Drosophila melanogaster: one gene and its partners. The protein of the gene in region 2 interacts with the protein of the main gene of each other region in a pairwise test. Each region holds a gene or a part of one and is shown on either strand. Other genes may lie near its edges.

Evidence for each region. Proteins that work in one complex are often made in the same cells at the same time.
Region 1: the proteins of OS9 (region 2) and CG10602 interact in a two-hybrid assay, tested with the Drosophila melanogaster proteins (one large-scale study listed by BioGRID).
Region 3: the proteins of OS9 (region 2) and CG1418 interact in a two-hybrid assay, tested with the Drosophila melanogaster proteins (one large-scale study listed by BioGRID).

The regions. Positions count from the first base shown.
Region 1 is NT_033779.5:18,854,158-18,861,781, forward strand, and holds CG10602 (uncharacterized protein), read right to left. Parts: upstream 5,092-7,624; 5' UTR 5,004-5,091; coding exon 4,980-5,003; intron 4,919-4,979; coding exon 4,795-4,918; intron 4,306-4,794; coding exon of another isoform or gene 3,917-4,305; exon of another isoform or gene 3,871-3,916; intron 3,523-3,870; exon of another isoform or gene 3,385-3,522; intron 3,247-3,384; coding exon 3,020-3,246; intron 2,908-3,019; coding exon 2,759-2,907; intron 2,692-2,758; coding exon 1,986-2,691; intron 1,921-1,985; coding exon 1,096-1,920; 3' UTR 969-1,095; downstream 1-968. Other genes in the region: CG17321 (uncharacterized protein), read left to right, coding at 1-90, 154-347; mRpL13 (mitochondrial ribosomal protein L13), read right to left, coding at 3,917-4,305, 4,795-4,918, 4,980-5,003; tup (tailup), read right to left, coding at 6,530-6,756, 6,820-7,048, 7,525-7,624.
Region 2 is NT_033779.5:19,964,487-19,968,863, reverse strand, and holds OS9 (Olfactory-specific 9), read left to right. Parts: upstream 1-2,353; 5' UTR 2,354-2,387; coding exon 2,388-2,444; intron 2,445-2,503; coding exon 2,504-3,046; 3' UTR 3,047-3,200; downstream 3,201-4,377. Other genes in the region: Hf (helical factor), read left to right, coding at 1,210-1,290, 1,354-1,917; CG10680 (uncharacterized protein), read right to left, coding at 3,583-3,801, 3,854-4,024, 4,089-4,220, 4,283-4,377.
Region 3 is NT_033778.4:9,962,867-9,967,837, forward strand, and holds CG1418 (uncharacterized protein), read right to left. Parts: upstream 2,202-4,971; 5' UTR 1,851-2,201; coding exon 1,768-1,850; intron 1,716-1,767; coding exon 1,509-1,715; intron 1,456-1,508; coding exon 1,164-1,455; 3' UTR 969-1,163; downstream 1-968. Other genes in the region: Pal1 (Peptidyl-alpha-hydroxyglycine-alpha-amidating lyase 1), read left to right, coding at 332-501; CG12133 (uncharacterized protein), read left to right, coding at 4,399-4,946.

The sequences.
Region 1 (7,624 bases), 1.1 Mb from region 2:
CGCCATATCATCACAATGGCAATGCGACCACGTCGGATTTGTATAACCAACAACAACAATCGTCCTATAATCAAAAGCCTTATATACCTGGTAAGGAATCTATTTAACTACTTCTATTTGGGGTGATGTGATGGTAACATGTCTCATTTGCAGCCAAACGACCCAATGAGCTCAACAATCAGCGTCCAGCATTGGGTCACACACAAACCGCACGGTCGAAACCCAATCAGCGCTATCGAGAGGGCTACCACTATCACACATCCCGCCAGAGTCCCACATTCGTGCTGGGCGATGATCAGGGTGCCGGTCCATCCACGTCCCGTTCCAATGATAACTCTAGTGCGTGATAGTTCTTAATGCCTCAGCCAGACGAAGGACACAGCAGGGAGAGCTTGGCCAGGCGTCCAAGGAAGGGGAATAGTTACAGAGATCTCTAAGCCATTAAATTCGGGAAAATCAATTGGAAGCATGTTGCAGCACTTTGGTCGACGTAGAAAGTGAACGAACACAACGGACAAAATTGTTAATTAGTTTAAAACCACACGCGAAACTCGTCGGAATTAGAAGTTGAGACACCAAGAGAGGAAATATTTAAGCAGCCGAGCAAAGCAAACAATAATAAATTTAATATATATTGTGTGTATGTGTACTACGAGCCGAGAGAGAAATTTAAAGAATTTAAGCCACAAGAAATTTGAAACGCAGATCAACCTGATCTACGCCCATTTGATTAGTTATACGAACACCAACACCCTTGAAATTGGTCAATGTCGAGCTATAACTAAAAAGGATATTAAATTGGTAACTATACGGTATCAAGGTAACGCGCGGAAATTGCAAGCAAAATTGAAGATTAGAATTGGAAGATTACAATGAGCATGGACATGGAAATCAACTTGTTATAAACGTAGTTTTGCTTATTTTTTAATAAAAACAACTAATTCAAGAAAAACAAAATCAACTAATTTCACTTGTTCTTTTTAGAAATCAAATCTATTTCTCTTCTGTTTAAATGTGTTCAAATGTGACAATCAAATCATTATAATGCAACAAGATTATTCTAGTGCTTCGGAAATGCATGCAACAGGCTTAGATTTACTTCAGCCCCAGGTCCTTTTCAATTGTATGCGAGCAGACGGCCATCATCTGATCCTTGACGTTGACGAAGTTGCGAATAGCAGCGGGCTTGGCCTCTGGCCAACCAGCCAGATCGCGGTAGATGGGGCGACAGAACTTCATGCGGAAGTTGGAGTTGGCAAATTCGAGGATCTCATCCAGACGTTTTATCAAGCGTGCACGGATAATCAAGCGATTCAATCGGAAGCGAACCTCGGCGTTCTTCGAACTCTTCAGGTTGTATGTGGATTCCAGTAGATTAATCTTGCCTTCGTTCAAATCGACAATGTCCTTGCTCTCGATCAGTTTGCCCAGGAAGTCAATGAGCTGGTGAATGGAAATGGTCGTCTTGATCTCCGCACTGTCAGCCAATTCAGCCACGCTCTTAGAGCTCCAGAGACTGGCCAATTCCTTGGTCACATTAGCGAGGGATTCATCGAAGTTCGGAATGACGGGTGGCATTCCCTCGGATTTCAGCCACAAGTCCCAGTCGACAGCACTCAGCTTATCCTTCTTGTCCGTGTCGATGAAGTAGTCATATAAAGCACTCTGGAAATCTTTCGTCTCAATCGACTTGTAGGCGTATTTTTTCAGATAGTCTCTCAGGAAAGGCTCAAAAACGGTTGGTCCGCCAAACAAGTCCTCCAAGTAGCGCAGGAACGTCGAACCCTTAATGTAAGGCACTGAAGAGAAGGCATCGTCGGGTCCACAGTTGGATAGATCCACCACCAGCTTAGTCAGCTCGGGTGTCTTGTTGAGCTGAGTGCGGATGCACTCCTGCAGATCCGTGAGATTGCTGAGCATCTAGGAAGAGCGATAGAAATTGTTGAAGGCTTGTAACTGAACTGCAACTCAAGTGATATGCTTACTTTAAAGTCCAACTCCTTGGCGCCCTGCATTCTTCCCACGATCTTGGATTCCACGAACACAGTGAAGCCCTCGTTCAACCAGAAATGCTCGAAGTTCTTGTTGGTCACAAGATTACCAGTCCAGCTGTGGGCTATCTCGTGAGCCACAACGTCGGCCAGAGACTTATCACCGGCCAAAAGAGTGGGAGTTACGAAGGTGAGGCATGGATTCTCCATGCCACCAAAGGGGAATGAGGGGGGCATCACCAGAAGATCGTACTGCTTCCAGACATACGGACCACACAACTCAGTGGCAGTCTTTAGCATGGTAGCTGTTTCGGAAAACTCCTCGGCGCAGGCATCCACGATGGCTTCCTCAGCCCAGACACTGGAGTTCTCCCCCAGCGGGCGGGAAACCAATTTGCCAATGGCAATGGCCACCAGATAAGCGGGAATGGGCACCTCCTGCTTGAATAGTGTCTTTCCCGGTTCCTTCTTATCGATAAGGGCGCTCATCAGGGCCGTGAGCTCGCTGGGATGCTCCACTGTGGCATCATAGGTAAACTTAACAGCTGGCGTGTCTTGGCAGGGAATCACCGAGCGAGCGTGGATTGCCTGGCATTGGGAGAACATATAAGGATGCTCCTTGCCCAAAGTCTGGGTGGGATTCAGCCACTGCAACCCACTGGCGCTGCTTGAAGTCTCGTAATCGATGCGAACGTTAAGGCTAGATAGGAGTGTTTTAGATTATTAATGACTTTCATAGATTAGATTATCTATCGCCGAGGTTTTACCTTCCCTTAGCCGTTCCAGATGGCAACTCCAGCGTTAGCTTCTGGCCAATATCATCGACGGCATCGCTGATAAAGAAGTTGATCGGGAGCTCACTGCCTCCGGCCAGCAGCGTGGCATTGGTTACATTGATGTCGCGGACATCAAGGAGCTAAGTTACATGTAAGGTAAATGGGTAAATAAGAAGTTCTAGGAACATGCCGCGGAATGAATATCTTCCAGAATTCTTATGCTGGATCCAGTGCGTTCCCCCAAGTACTCACAATTTTGTCCAGATTGGCAGTCAACACCTTGAAGCGATGGAGCACGCTTCCTTGGATTTTGGTTGCTGCAAAGTCGATCTTCCAGTTGAGAGCACTGTGCTCAGTGGTGATCAAATCGGGCTGCGAGTAAGAACTGGGATCCACGACTCCTAAGCGACCCATGTTGCGTTTTTGTACTTGGTAAATCGGGAGTAGTTTGTGTGAAGTGCACAAGCCGCGAGTAGAGACTGAAAAAGAGTAAGAAATATTTGAAAATTGTTAACTTTCTGCGATAGTGCTATCGTATGCCATAAAAATGTGCACAGATAAGCCAAAAGCTGTGGTTAAATTCTAACAGCTGCTGTTGTGTGGTTTAAGATATTTACGTTAAGTGATGACCGCACTTTCTATATAGTATATTTATTCACGTACGTTAAAATAATTCGTGGGCGGCGTCGATAGATATGGGTGCAAAATGAAGCAGATACAAATGAGATGAATAAGTTGCAATTCACTGCCACACAGCCGGTAAATTGCAGGGTTGTCGAGGATCGCAAAGTGTTAGACACAACAATCTATTAATTATGAAATAAATTAAGCAGCTTGCCAAACTAAATACGTTATTTCCAGTGCCAAGTTACTTTCTTTAAATTCTTGCTATTCTGACATAAATTGTAAAGTCTATAAAAATTAACCTGAAGCTTAGCTGCCTGGCATCCCTTTTGCAGTATTGCCAGCCCAAAAAAATCTCACGCTTTTAGATTAGTGAAGTCGCCGCCGTTATACCATGTAATAAACAATAAAATCACATAAAATTTGGCTATAGAAAATAAGAATTGAAAAAAAAAAATTAAAACTTCAATAAGCTTTTTCCATATTTTGTATTTATCTTAATTACAATGATTTCCTATCAGCATATCAACGCAAGATATAATCCTTGGGATAATCCATAATGTTGGGGAAGTTCTCCAGCGTTTCTTTGTCGATATGATCCAGACGCTGGGGAATAGAGCGCGGCGTGCGGATTTGATTCGTGACGTTTTGCAGGATTTCCTCGGGCACCTGATCGTCGGCGAACAAGTGCAGTCTTTGCATGGTGTGCCTGCGCTGCAGATTTCCGCGCATCGAGTTGTACACGGCCTTCTTCATCACCATCGTGGGATCCTTCTCGTGCAGCTGCCACGCCAGGGTCCACGAAGCGCCACCAGGATAGCCGGTGTGGTGGAAGTAAACCCTCTTCACCCACTCGTCACCGGGCAAAGCGATTTCCCGCGTGTTGATCAGCACCACATGATCCCCGCAGTCATCTGGAAAATTACATGTACGGTTTTTATTGGATGGCCGTTGGGGATTACTTGCTTAACCTAAAAGTACAATAATCACTGGTCAAAAATAAGGTATGAAATACCTGAACCGTCATTCAGTTGCGCTCCAAATAGTAGTTTTAGTCTTAGCAGAGGAAGTAACTATATATAATCGGCGACCATTTAGTAGATCCTTATGAGTATGAGGATTTTTAATTAAACATATTTGTTTAAGGATTAAACAAACAAGGATTATTACCGAATTCATACTACTATTTGAATCGCAGGCTGAATGGTCAAATAATTACCGTTTTTGGATTAAAATTTATTTGTTTTCATTTTATACTTGCAGCAGCAACAACAACAACAACAACAACAACTAAGAAAACACGCCGGTGATGTAATGACATCGAAATACCCCAAAAAAGGGCTTAAATCAAACGCTGTCGAGATCGAAACTAAACAAAAACTGCGCCAAAGGATAACACTTACTCATTGGGTGGTAAATGGGCTTTTGGAGGCCCAATAAATGCGTTTTAACCAGTTTTGCCGACTCGAATGGATTCTGCCAGGTGCAATCGTAAATGTGCCAAGTGCGCGCGAACGTTGCCCATTGCTAAATCCGGAGGAAATTTAATGATTACCTATTGCACATTGAGGGTAGTGAGCTTACGCACCTGCACACGCTTCGCAATGGACATTTTTTGAGATTTTTAATTAAACAATTTAAATAAAAATAATTTCTCAGCTGGCAGACAGTGTGACCAAGGTATGAAGTTTGAAAAATATCGTTTAACAAAGCGATAATAATGACTAAAAAATGCAATACCATTCCCTTAGCAAAGGTCCCAACCACAGAAGCAGTTCAGACACATTCCAATTGGATTCATATTACACATTACCGTGACTCAAACCGTATGGAAGCAGTTCATCAATTGTGTTAAGCAGTACTTTTTAGCATTGCAAGCAGTGTGACAACGAAATTAAGAAATGAAATGATTTCTTTTAAAATATCTTCTTTTAAAAATAAGACAGGGTATTTTTGTTATTTTTCGTCTTGTTTTTTTGTGGTTTTATTTTCGTTTGTAATTTCATTTAAACATTTTCTATAGTTACTAAAATTACTTATGCACTGTTTATTATTAATATTAGTTAAATATTATTGAAAATACATTAGTTGTTTTACGAAACAGTTCATAAACATCCTTGGTACACTTCGTCATTTCTTTCTGCCTTTCCGCTGCCGGATTTGTTGTCTCCCTCGTCTTCTAATGCATTTCGGAAATGTTTAAAAACTAACAAATAAGTCTAGATTTAGTTACAGTTTTTGTTTCTCGCTTACATAAAATTCCCGTCCGCTTTTCTGCATTTATTTATTTATAATAATTTTGTGTTTCTTTTGCCATACAATTTATGAACTTAACGTAGATGCTTTTGTTGTTGCTAATTCGATTTACAAGTTTGCCAAGTGCGCCTTTATAGTTTATAGCTACGCCTCGGATTTGACATCCCAAATACCATATAATACACACGAGTCAGATTCTCTTTTCGTTTTTGAATGCTTTCTTTCGATCGGTTCTTTTGCATTTTGAATGAAAATATATTTGTTTATTATTAATATATAAAAGGTATTTACAAATTTATGTTTAATGAAATTCCCTACTTGATGCGAAGTAACTGTTTTCCTTTTGTTATCATAATTTTTGTTTTCGTGTCTGAAATTATTGTAATAACTTTTCAAGTGTGTGAGCATTTTTGTTTAGCTTACATTAATTTTTTCATGATCTTTTTTTCTTCGAACTCAACAACAAAAGTGTATGTTACATAACGAACCAGAGCCAGATTATCCACAAAATGCCAACGGCCTACAGACTATTTTTTGGCACCGAATCAAACAGAATAAAATTAAATGTACAGAATACACATGAGTAGAATATGAAAATGCGGACAGAAAGAATTGCACAACCCCGAATACAGTCGAACTCCACTTACTGGATAAAACTATTGATGAAACTTCGAATCGTTTTGAAGTAAAATGGGAACACTTTTTGATAAAATTATTGAATAAAGTACAAATGATTTGGGTATTTAAAGAAGTATTCAATTGTACACCAGAATTTCAGCACGGGTGTCAATATTTTGCAAGACAACTTTTCGAGTTTATGAAGATCGACTGCAGCTCCTCACGTTCGAGCTTCCTGCCACGCCCTCTGCGCGCCCTTTGTTTTTAGAGAACCGCATGTGAGGCCGGGGAAGCCGAGCCCGTTACCTTCTGGAGCATTTGCATGAGCTGCTCGGTGGCCGACTGATTGGCCACCACGCCCAAGCCCAGGACACCTGAACCACCGCCCACGGCACCGCCACCCCCTGCTCCGACGCCCGATGGCGGCGAGGAGATCGATGTGCCCGCCGAGGCCGAGGAAGAGGACGACGGGGTCAGCGCCAGCTTGGATTCTGGGAGCAACAAAAGAAGCTGGATTAGATTCGGTTCGATTGTCTACGGACTGCCCTGCATACTGTCATCGCTCTCCAGGTAGGTGACGTAGGAGTCGGTGCTGTCCGGATGGTGGTGCGAGGTGATCCCGGAGTCCAAACTGCTGCCTCCGGGCTGCTGGTTCGGCTGCTGGTTCTGATGGTTGTGCGGTCCGCCGGGGGGCGGGGGGTGCTGGTGGGGAGGTCCTTGCGCCGGATGCGAGTGCGGATGCGGCGGCAGAATGGGCATCCCGTTCAGGTCGTAGCCGTGCATCTGCGGGAAGGGAGCGGAAAGGGGTTAGATGTCAGTTGTGGATTATTTAAATATCCTCATAACTTATTTTTCATAATCGAAAATGTACTTGTCTTCTTCTTTTTTTTAGAATCTGTGTATTTATTGAAATGTAAACATTTATTGGGGGGATTGAAAGACATAGAAATAAAATGTATTCACGGTCATCTTGGTGATAACAGCTAAACTACTAATTTATTATCCATTCATCATCGTCTGTGAAGTTTATTGATACACGTATGGCAAAAATGTTTTTAATCGGTTTATTTCTCGCATATTTATAATATATCCTAACCAGTTTTCAATTGGCAAGCAAACAACCATAGCGAAAATTATGCAATCTAGTTGGTGGCTTTGGCTCACGTTAAAATCAAAATAAACTCGTTTCCGATCATGGTTTAATAAAGGGATTAGAGGGATTACTATCCCGTTTAAAATAATTGTACATATATCCCTACCTGATTGACCAACTGCTGAAATGCGGGCGTGTGGGTATTGATCGCTCCATTGCTGTCGAGATCGGCGTGAAGGGCGAAGTCGCTTAAGGCTTTCCATGGC
Region 2 (4,377 bases):
TGGCCCCAATGTCCTGAATGTCAGATGTACCTTGAGAACTCGTAAAATACTGTAAAGATTTAATCCAAATATCAGCGTTAGTATAAGCAACTGAATTAGAATCTCCTTAGGTGTGAACTACGACAATGGCTGCTATCAGGTCTCAATTATAAAGAATATTATATATATATATATATATTTAAAAGCCAAATCAGTACAATGCCTGGACAACTGCAACACAAAAAGCTATGTATATATGCGAAATAACTTATATCAAATATATATCAATATGCAACTTGGTGTTTCAGTGATAGTCCTACTACAATGTGTACCTACATATGTGTGTTATCTCGAAATGCGGATTAAAATTGTTCAAAACAAAAAATTTTCAGTATTCAACTATAAAGTATGCATTCCTAAGTCAATTGGACGTTAATTTAATTATTTTAAGCTGATTGTTGAAAATGCCAGTGCATTTGCCAACAATCGCGGGTAAAGCGTATTATTCTGAACGTAAATGTAATAAGACTTATGTATAAGTACTTTTGCAGAGATACAAAATGAAATAGTTATAAGGACGTTTATCGCATGCCAAACGATCCTTGATCCTTGATATTTTTTGATTTTACACAACTTTAAAAGATAATATAGAAAATATGGTTATTGTACAAATTATTAAGGATGTTTTGGTAATCCAGACTCTTTTCTTTACAATTAAATTTATTTAAAAACACTTTTTCGATTTTACCAACCTTTAGAGATCAGATTGAAAATGTTGTAAGTGTACAAAAGAATGAGCATATTTTGATTATCCGGACGACTTTCTTCCCGTTACAAGCCAATTTACAAATGCTGAATATGAATATATATATACATATAGTCCGGATCAATATGAGAATGCAGTAGCTTGCTAATAACCTAAGTATATGCTAAGATGTGTAATTTACAAATCTAATTGTTAATGTTACTCGTGTGTATGCAGATTACTACTAACATTCGACTAGACGGCATCTTTTTTTCCTAGCTAGCTTAAATAGAAAACCACGAACGAACATTAATGGCCATTAATTTGCTCACTCTACGAAATTCGTATAAACAGTACTTGAGATATTTTCTACTTGCGCTTAATAAAACAAACAAAACCTAAGCCAGTCGAGATTGTTTGGGTGGGGAGACCGTTTGGCATCCGTCCGACATGATCAGTCTAAATCGAGCAGCGATCAGAGGAGCATGGCGAGATCAGGGCGCAGTTCGAGGTTTCTTATCGGCGGCAGCACTTGCTGTTCGATGCTTCTGGGTCTTATCTGTCTGGTGAGTCGGTGAGTCGGCAGTGGATTAGATAAGGAACTTATTGATTTTCCTCTCGATTGCCAGGCTCTGGCGGACTCATCCCAAGTGAAAGAACGCAGCCCTACCATCTTGGTGAGAAATACAATTCAAGCGGTGGAGAGGCTCTTCAATCAGGTGCTCTACACGACCATCGAAGATGCCCGCCAACGACTACCGGGTCTTCCGGCCAACGAAACCATCGATCGGCAGTACTTCGAGGAGCTCGACCTGGTTGCTGGGAACGAGGACTATTACAGCACTGCATTCTATATCTTCGCCTGGATAAACAGCGACCTCATGTACCATAAGACTCCCGATAAGTTGCTCGTCGAGGTTCTTCCCGGCGAGAAGATCGCCATCCGCAGATTCTTCGCCAAGGTCAAGCCGCATCTTACCAAGTATCTGCGACTCAGTCGACAGGACAGGTCGGAATTGGTTTCCAACGTCACCCAGTTGGCCACCGAAACCAAGGACAGTCTGATCACAACCTTCTTGGAGTTTCCCCAGAACCTGAAGAGCCAACTTCCTGAGCTCCAGCTAATGGACTACACCAAATTGGCTCAGGCTTTGGTGCAGGGGGTGGCCAGTGGTATATGGACGAAGGCTTAAGATTAATAGCTAAATATTTAAACAATATCATAGAATTAGAAAGTGTTTGTAATAAAATGAGAAATGTACTTCAAAGAACAATATTCGGAATCTATTTATACGAGGACTTTATTCCTGAAAAATGCCGTTTAACTTCCGGAAAATTTCCGACTGTCTGATCAACATGTGTAGATATCGAGAACTGATACTTTAAAGCAATAAAGATATTATCGTGACTTGGAACTATATACGACTTTGTAATAACAAAATGCATGGTTTCCACTACCCACTAATTAATATACGAAGGGGCAGCACTCGTTCTTATCACGCTCACCGATTTCTGAAGTCTGATTACAGTCTATACGTTGTCTCACGATCAGTGGGTATTCATTACAGAGGAGGCGTTCTCCCATTTTGTATAAAAATTGTGAATTTAAGAGAGGGAATATAAAAGGAATCAGTTCGATAGAGACTAGATACAGTTTCAAATCATGGCCAGCAGACTAACTTGGACTTTTCTAGTCGCTGTAGCTGCCCTCCAGCTTTCGGTAAGATCCTTAGATTTGCTTATATCCTTTTGGAATCAACAGAAACCTTTAACTTTCAGCTTGCAGCGCCTCTCATTAACAAATGGCAGTTACAATTCGAAGTGTCCAATGAACTCTTTCAAATGGTAACAGACGCCATGGAACAGCTACGACATGTCTTTCAATTGGTCATCGACGAGGCCGAACTCATTTTACCACCAAACTCCAAGGGACACATTCTCAGGGAGCTTAAGGACTTCGTCGCGGCCTTGGACACCCTGGACTTCGATGATTCATTCGAGCTGAACAGACTGGAGGATGCTCTTGAGGAACTGGAAAGCATCATTTCGATTGCAGGCAGCAAAGAATTCGAATCGGAAGCTGACGAGGTTGTCGTTCAGCTATTCATACAGCACGGAGTTGAGGACCTGGAGCAGATCCTGGAAAGAAACTTGGAAACTACTCTGAAAATCGTAGAGCAGAAGGTGGAGAAATACATGAGCACATGGTCCGACAGTCGGTTGGCCAGGAACGCGGCGATGGTCAAGCAGTTTAATGACTTTAAGAACGAAAAGGATGTCTATGAGAAGCTGGACAAGTTAACCAACTCTGATTTCATTTGAATAAACATATCATGTTTCAAGTACATTTAAGTTTAAACCAAATAACTACAGATACATAGTCCGAACGTATATATTATTTCCAGAAACTGCCTTGCAAATATCAAAACCAGTAGTCCAGAGTTCATGTTTTGTATTAGCACGCTCGCCGGAAGCTAAAATTTGATTACATATTGCAGCTGATTTAACAATCAATGAGCATATAATAAATACGCTAGTAAGTGTTTACTACTTAGTGCAGGTATGACGTAAGAAATGTGGAATTCATTTTACAAAGGTATTGAATACCTTAATATACCTTTTTTAGATTTGTAAGCTGTCAGGTTTCAATAGCTTTGAAAGTTTTACTGACTTTCTATTCAATACAATTGTTATTTAGTCTGATAAATAAACCGTGCGGAAAGTAAAATAACTGATTATTTGTAATGCCAAGAATCTTTACATTACACACAGACAAGTCAGTATAATCTCTAGCAGCCTTAACTAGTTGTTTTTGAGAACTCGGAACTTTCATTCATCAGCTTCTCTTAGGAAAGGTGTTAAAAGTTGCGATAAGATGATCCAAATCCATCCCGCGAGTCGAACACATCCCGCTCGATTTGGGGAGGTCCTCTTCCATCCGATGTGTAGCTATAGGATTCGCTCCGGTAAAAGTTGTTAGAAGAGCCCCCGGAACCAAGGGGACCACTTCTACCAGTCGGAATACTGGAACCACCGGCGATAAGGGGGATAATGGAACCACTGGATGGCATAGGTACCTGGAGAAGGTGTATTAGTTTTTTAGTTAGGAAAACGATTGCACAAGATTACCGGTCGAGATACAAAGGTTCCTAAGTTTTGATTGCGGAATGGGGAGTCAGGAATTGGTCGAATGCCTCTGCCACGGAAATCCGGGGAACTGGGAAAAGGTCTGTTGTCGAAGCCGCTGCCTCTGGGACCCACATTGTAATCGGTTTGGAATGCATTGTCATAGTTGGGTTGCTGAAATAGTTCAATCGTCAATCGGATTGTAATACTATGTGTAACTACTTATAAAAACACTTACACGAATGGGGAAACCGTTGGATCGGGGAGGGATCTGAGGATAAAACGGTCGAGGTTGGAAGGGGATAGGTCGGAGTGGAACGTCCTCCTCTTCGTAGGTGTCGGTCACCTCCTCCACTTCACCGCTAGATCTCTTCAAGGATAATAAATATATATTTATTTCCATTTATATTAAGTGTATTGGATGAGACTCACCTCTAGAAACTCGACATCGTTATTTGCTTCGGCCAGGGCAGAGCTGTTTCCGCCATTTAAGGATGATCTATTAGAAATAGGTTTGTTGCTCGATT
Region 3 (4,971 bases), on a different chromosome or scaffold from region 2:
CTTTTTTTGGTGTCGTTAATTACACAGCATGTCCACTTCTTGTGTGTTCTGTATTCGTTGGCTTACTTTTCGTTCAACTTTATTGTAATTAAAATTTATACCGCATTTATATACAAATTATATACAACTTTTTATACAAAATACATAAGCATACAAACAAAATTTACGTTTATCCTTAAGTGTATTCTGTTTTCGTTTTTGGTTTGTTCCAGTGCACGCCAGATCGCAGATCTATGCATGAACTAAGAAGGGAATGGGGTGACTAGTGTTATTGCTCATATAAATCCCATGGTAATTGTTAGTTAATCAGTTGTACCAACATATCCCACAGGTTGCCTGCCTTTCGGAGCACGCGGTCGTCGCCACGCGTGGGAGAAAAGCGATGGCTTCAAGCTGGGCGGACTTCTCGATCGGGATCGCAACGGATTCGAGAAGCTGGACCAGCAGGCCAGCGACGAGGAGCAGGAGACGAAGACACTGGCGAGTGCCCAGTACGCCTAGGCGAAGGACCAAGACTTACGCAGCTAACAAAGCATTCCTAGTTCTAACTACCTGTACCTCATTGAAATACCGACTTAGTTTTACGCGAGCTATGTATATGTGTGTACTTTAGGTAACTTTATTTACCTTCCTTGTGGTGCATATCGCAGAGAATTCCGATCGTGGTGTATTTCTAGTTGATTTATTGAGCCGTTTGTTCAATGTATTTTAAACAGCTTATTTATGGAAACTTCTTTTGGAGAACCGACTATGCGATTTTTTTCCGGTTACTTATATTTATTCTTTATTTAAAAGAATACATTTTTAAAACGCATGCCTCTAAAGAGCTCGAAAATATCTGAAATATTGTAAGTGCCACAGAGTCCAATGACTTGACCACATCCTTTAAATTAATTTTTTTTTTCGAATTAAATCGAAGTTCTCAGCGAATGCGCCTCATATATTGCGATTAATTTGCCAAAAAGAATATAGTCGTATGAATCTGTCATAGTGTGTATTTCGATTATTTAAAGTCTGCGGCTTAACTAGATTTCGTTATAAATAGGTGTACAACATATTGTGTCGACTTGCAAGGCCCCATAGTGGCGAATATGTTTAGCCCCTTTCCTCGTCCCTGGTTGCCACGATCCCAGAAGACCTAGGGTTTAGCTTCTGGCTGGCGGTCAGACAACCTGGGCGAGGAAACCCTCATTCTCCTCCGTTACAATAGCATCGATGTTGTAGAATATAGCATGCATAGCAATCACGAAGCATGAAGCACCCAGCGTCCAAAACAAAACCGCACCCGCGCCCACCAGGAATAGCACTGGTGCCGTCGCCAGATTGAGTGCGATGATCTGCTGGCTGGGCGTCAGTTGTTGTCCCACGATGGTAATGTTACTGTTGCGCACGCGCAGCTTATGGCAGCCAAAAGCGGAAGCCAGGATGACCAGCAGAATGCAGGGAGCCGTGATGCTTAAGATTATAACTATTAAATGGGGTGCAATAAGGTTTTTAGAATCACTTACAGGCAGTATATCATCAGTACAAAAAAGATGAAAACGTAGTTGGCCTGAAAATAGGAGAGATTCCGAATAACCCGGCTATTTAGCCGCTGCATGCTGATGGCCGTTTTGAAATTGTTGATGTTGAAGAAGACTACCCAGGGCCGCAGGGAGTTTCGGACCATTTGGAAGATCTGCAGCGGTGATGGCAGGTTGGATAGCGAGGGCAGGCTGCAGGGTTCAAGAGTAATTAGCTATTCGCTCCTTGTTACGGTTTACTCACCTTTGCATGTCCACGGAGAACCTGCCTCCGGAAGGCGGTGGCGGCTGCATGTTACCGGATAGGTTCCCGCCAGTGTGTGCCATTTTGCTTGTGCTTTCCCAACCTCGTCCTAACACTTATCTTAGATACACGTCTTCGCTGCAATCTACAATTCTTCTTTCGACAAGTGTGGGCGTTCCACAAGTGTTATGTGTATCTTTGGATTCGTTCCACTTGGTCCAAGAACTGTCTTGAGGATGCTGCGGCGTTTGTAAAGCGGCGAGGACTTTAGCGGGGTCACTTCTACATGGAGGCGGCAACACTTTCGATGTTGATTTTACGATTCACTCTTAATTTGCTATGACATCGTTTTCTTTTGAGAAACAGTATACAAAGTTTGAAAAATCTGATGTGGCAGATAGTTCTAGGATTGCCGTTGCCGTGACGTGCGGTGTGGCCAGAGTTGCGAGTGCGCAAATTCTCGAAATCAACTGAAAACAAATCCAAAGCGCTGAATGCAATCAAACATTTAATACAAAACTTTTTCTCTAAACATTTGAATTATTTTTTAATGATATTTTTACACAAAACAATTATATTTTTCTACCTATTACTCGTGTAGTAGATGGTTATACTAGATTCGTTTAAAAATGTATATATTTTTGATATCCTTGTCTATTAACTTGAACTATTAAAGCTAGAAAGTTAAGATTAGAAATTCAGTTTCTTTCTGATGATGCAACGCCACAATTTAAAAAAATGAATCGATTTTTTTTCATTTTATTACTTGTCTTGCCAATTTCTAGAGCTATGCCAAAAACCTTTTACCACGCCCATTTTAACACTGAAATCTGCTACGTCTTCACTTTTATGTGTAGACATTTTTTAATTTTACTATTTGTTATCAGTATGGCAAAAGATATGTTGGATGCGCCCAAACCAAACCAAACCCACACTTTTAAAAAGTTACTTGCCTATTTTTCATCTTATTATTTTTTTTTCCAATTTGTATAGATAAGCCAAAATGAATGTTGAACTTTTCCACCAGCTGAGTAATTGGTATCTGATAGTCGAGGAACTGGACTATATAGTTCTCTCTGCTTAAAAATGTTTTCATCACAGAATTACTTATTATTTCTTTTAACAAGGCCAAACAAAGCAAACATATTAAGCAATTCTTTTAATTTCCTTTTATATAAGTAGGCGTAACGAAAGAAATTTTAAGAGTCTGCGTTGCTTTACAAGTAACAGGTAAGAATCGCGCTGATATTTTAAATATTTTTTGAACAATTTATTTGACGGATAACACAACATCCATTAAATTTTTCTCAGGTCTTCTGGCTAATACATACATATCTTATATTTCTTGTATCTTGTATACACACTCAGGTTAAATGTTACATTTCTATTTACATTTACCAACAAAGAGTTTTAGAAGTTAAGAGAGTTTTCATTTGCATTACCATTATGAATATAGACTATATAATAAAAGTTCTAACTTAGATATATTTACAGATATGGATTTTTGACGTCATAACATATTGCTGGTGTGACACAAGTGATAAGTATTTTTTCACAGTTCCGGTATGAATCAGATTTTTGATTTTAACTTAAAAAAATTGTGTCTTGAAATATTCAGAATGGATTTATATTTGTTTACGGAGATGGAAATTGATTATCATCTTTTTGTTCAACGGTATTTTGGGATTGTGGAGAAAGTAAAAAATAAATCTCGTTCTAGTCACGCGGTATCAGGGTGATGGTGTCCTTCATTTCCAAAAAACCTGTGAATGTATTCGAGTGTTGCGACTGTTAGATACCTGTTACTCAGTTTATGAACCTGCAACATATGGATATGTAGAATTTGAATAATTTGGCGTGTAGCAAGGATATAGCTCTGATCAATCTATTACTACAGTTTTGATATGTTTAAAAGTAGTAGGATTTGAACGTTTCCTGGTATCCAGAAGACTTTTAGGATGTGAGCGTTTTAGGAGTTTAGGGCGTAACAGGGGCGTGGCACGGTTTTAAAGAAAACTTACATGCTTCCTTACTCTTAATGTTTCCGACATCTCGACATTCATACGGACGGACAGGCAGGCCATTATAATTAACCCAAGGAAAGTTGTGGATTGGACATCGTGCCATGAATCATTTTAGCAATCGAGATAAGCTTGAACTTTTAAGACCAACTGGCTTTTGAATTCAGTATTCGGTTAGGCTTTGACATTTCAAGATGGTCTCGATCCATTTTTATTTGGCACTTTTGCTTCAAGCGATTTCCTTGGCGAATTCTTTCCAATTTGGTAAATAGTGGCAACTACAATACAATATACATATCTACAATTTCATCGGATCAGTGTCAGTGTTAAATATATACTTTGGCAGCTCACGGATCTATTTTTGGTCTCAACAATAATTAATACCTTATAATTACAAAATTGGAACTTCATTGGGTTGATTTCGCTACACAAAACTATAGTCTTACCAGGAAAATGCAATCTTTAATAGGATTTCATACAGTGTTACAAATGCTATTTTCGGCCATTTTGAGCTCCATTAATTGGTCAATTTTTGTTACCCCCCTTAGCAAAATTCAATTTTTGCCGACTAGACGAGATTTGCATCCCACTGAGCAAATGTGAACCTCTTATGAAGATTCTACATCCCCGGAACATGACAAACGATCAAAAATCACAGTACCGGAACAAACTATGCAACATTAATCCTTTTGCCCACGAGCTAGTGCACATGGTTTTTACCTGCTGCCCGATGGTTGCAGGGGATAAACTACCAGATAGCAGGGTCTGCGGACAGAGTCCTCCTTCGTCATATATCGTAGGCGGCATGGAGGCACAGTCCAACCAGTTTCCCTGGACAGTCCTGCTGGGTTACGAAGCCTACACAGCAAAGCAGCGACCGTCTCCCATGTGTGCGGGCTCCTTGATCGCCAGTCGCTATGTGCTGACGGCAGCCCATTGTTTGAATGTGAATGACTTCTACGTGGCACGTGTGCGCCTGGGCGAGCATGACACCGAGAACGATCCCGACTACACCTGGCTGCCGAATGGAGCCAAGATATGGGCTCCAGCGCACGTGGACATCGATGTGGATCTGAGGGTTCCGCACGAGCAGTACTACACGAGAAATGGAAGACACTACAACGACATTGCTCTGTTGCGTCTGAAGAGTCGGGTGAAGTAAGTAGTGTGCTCTTTGGGGTTC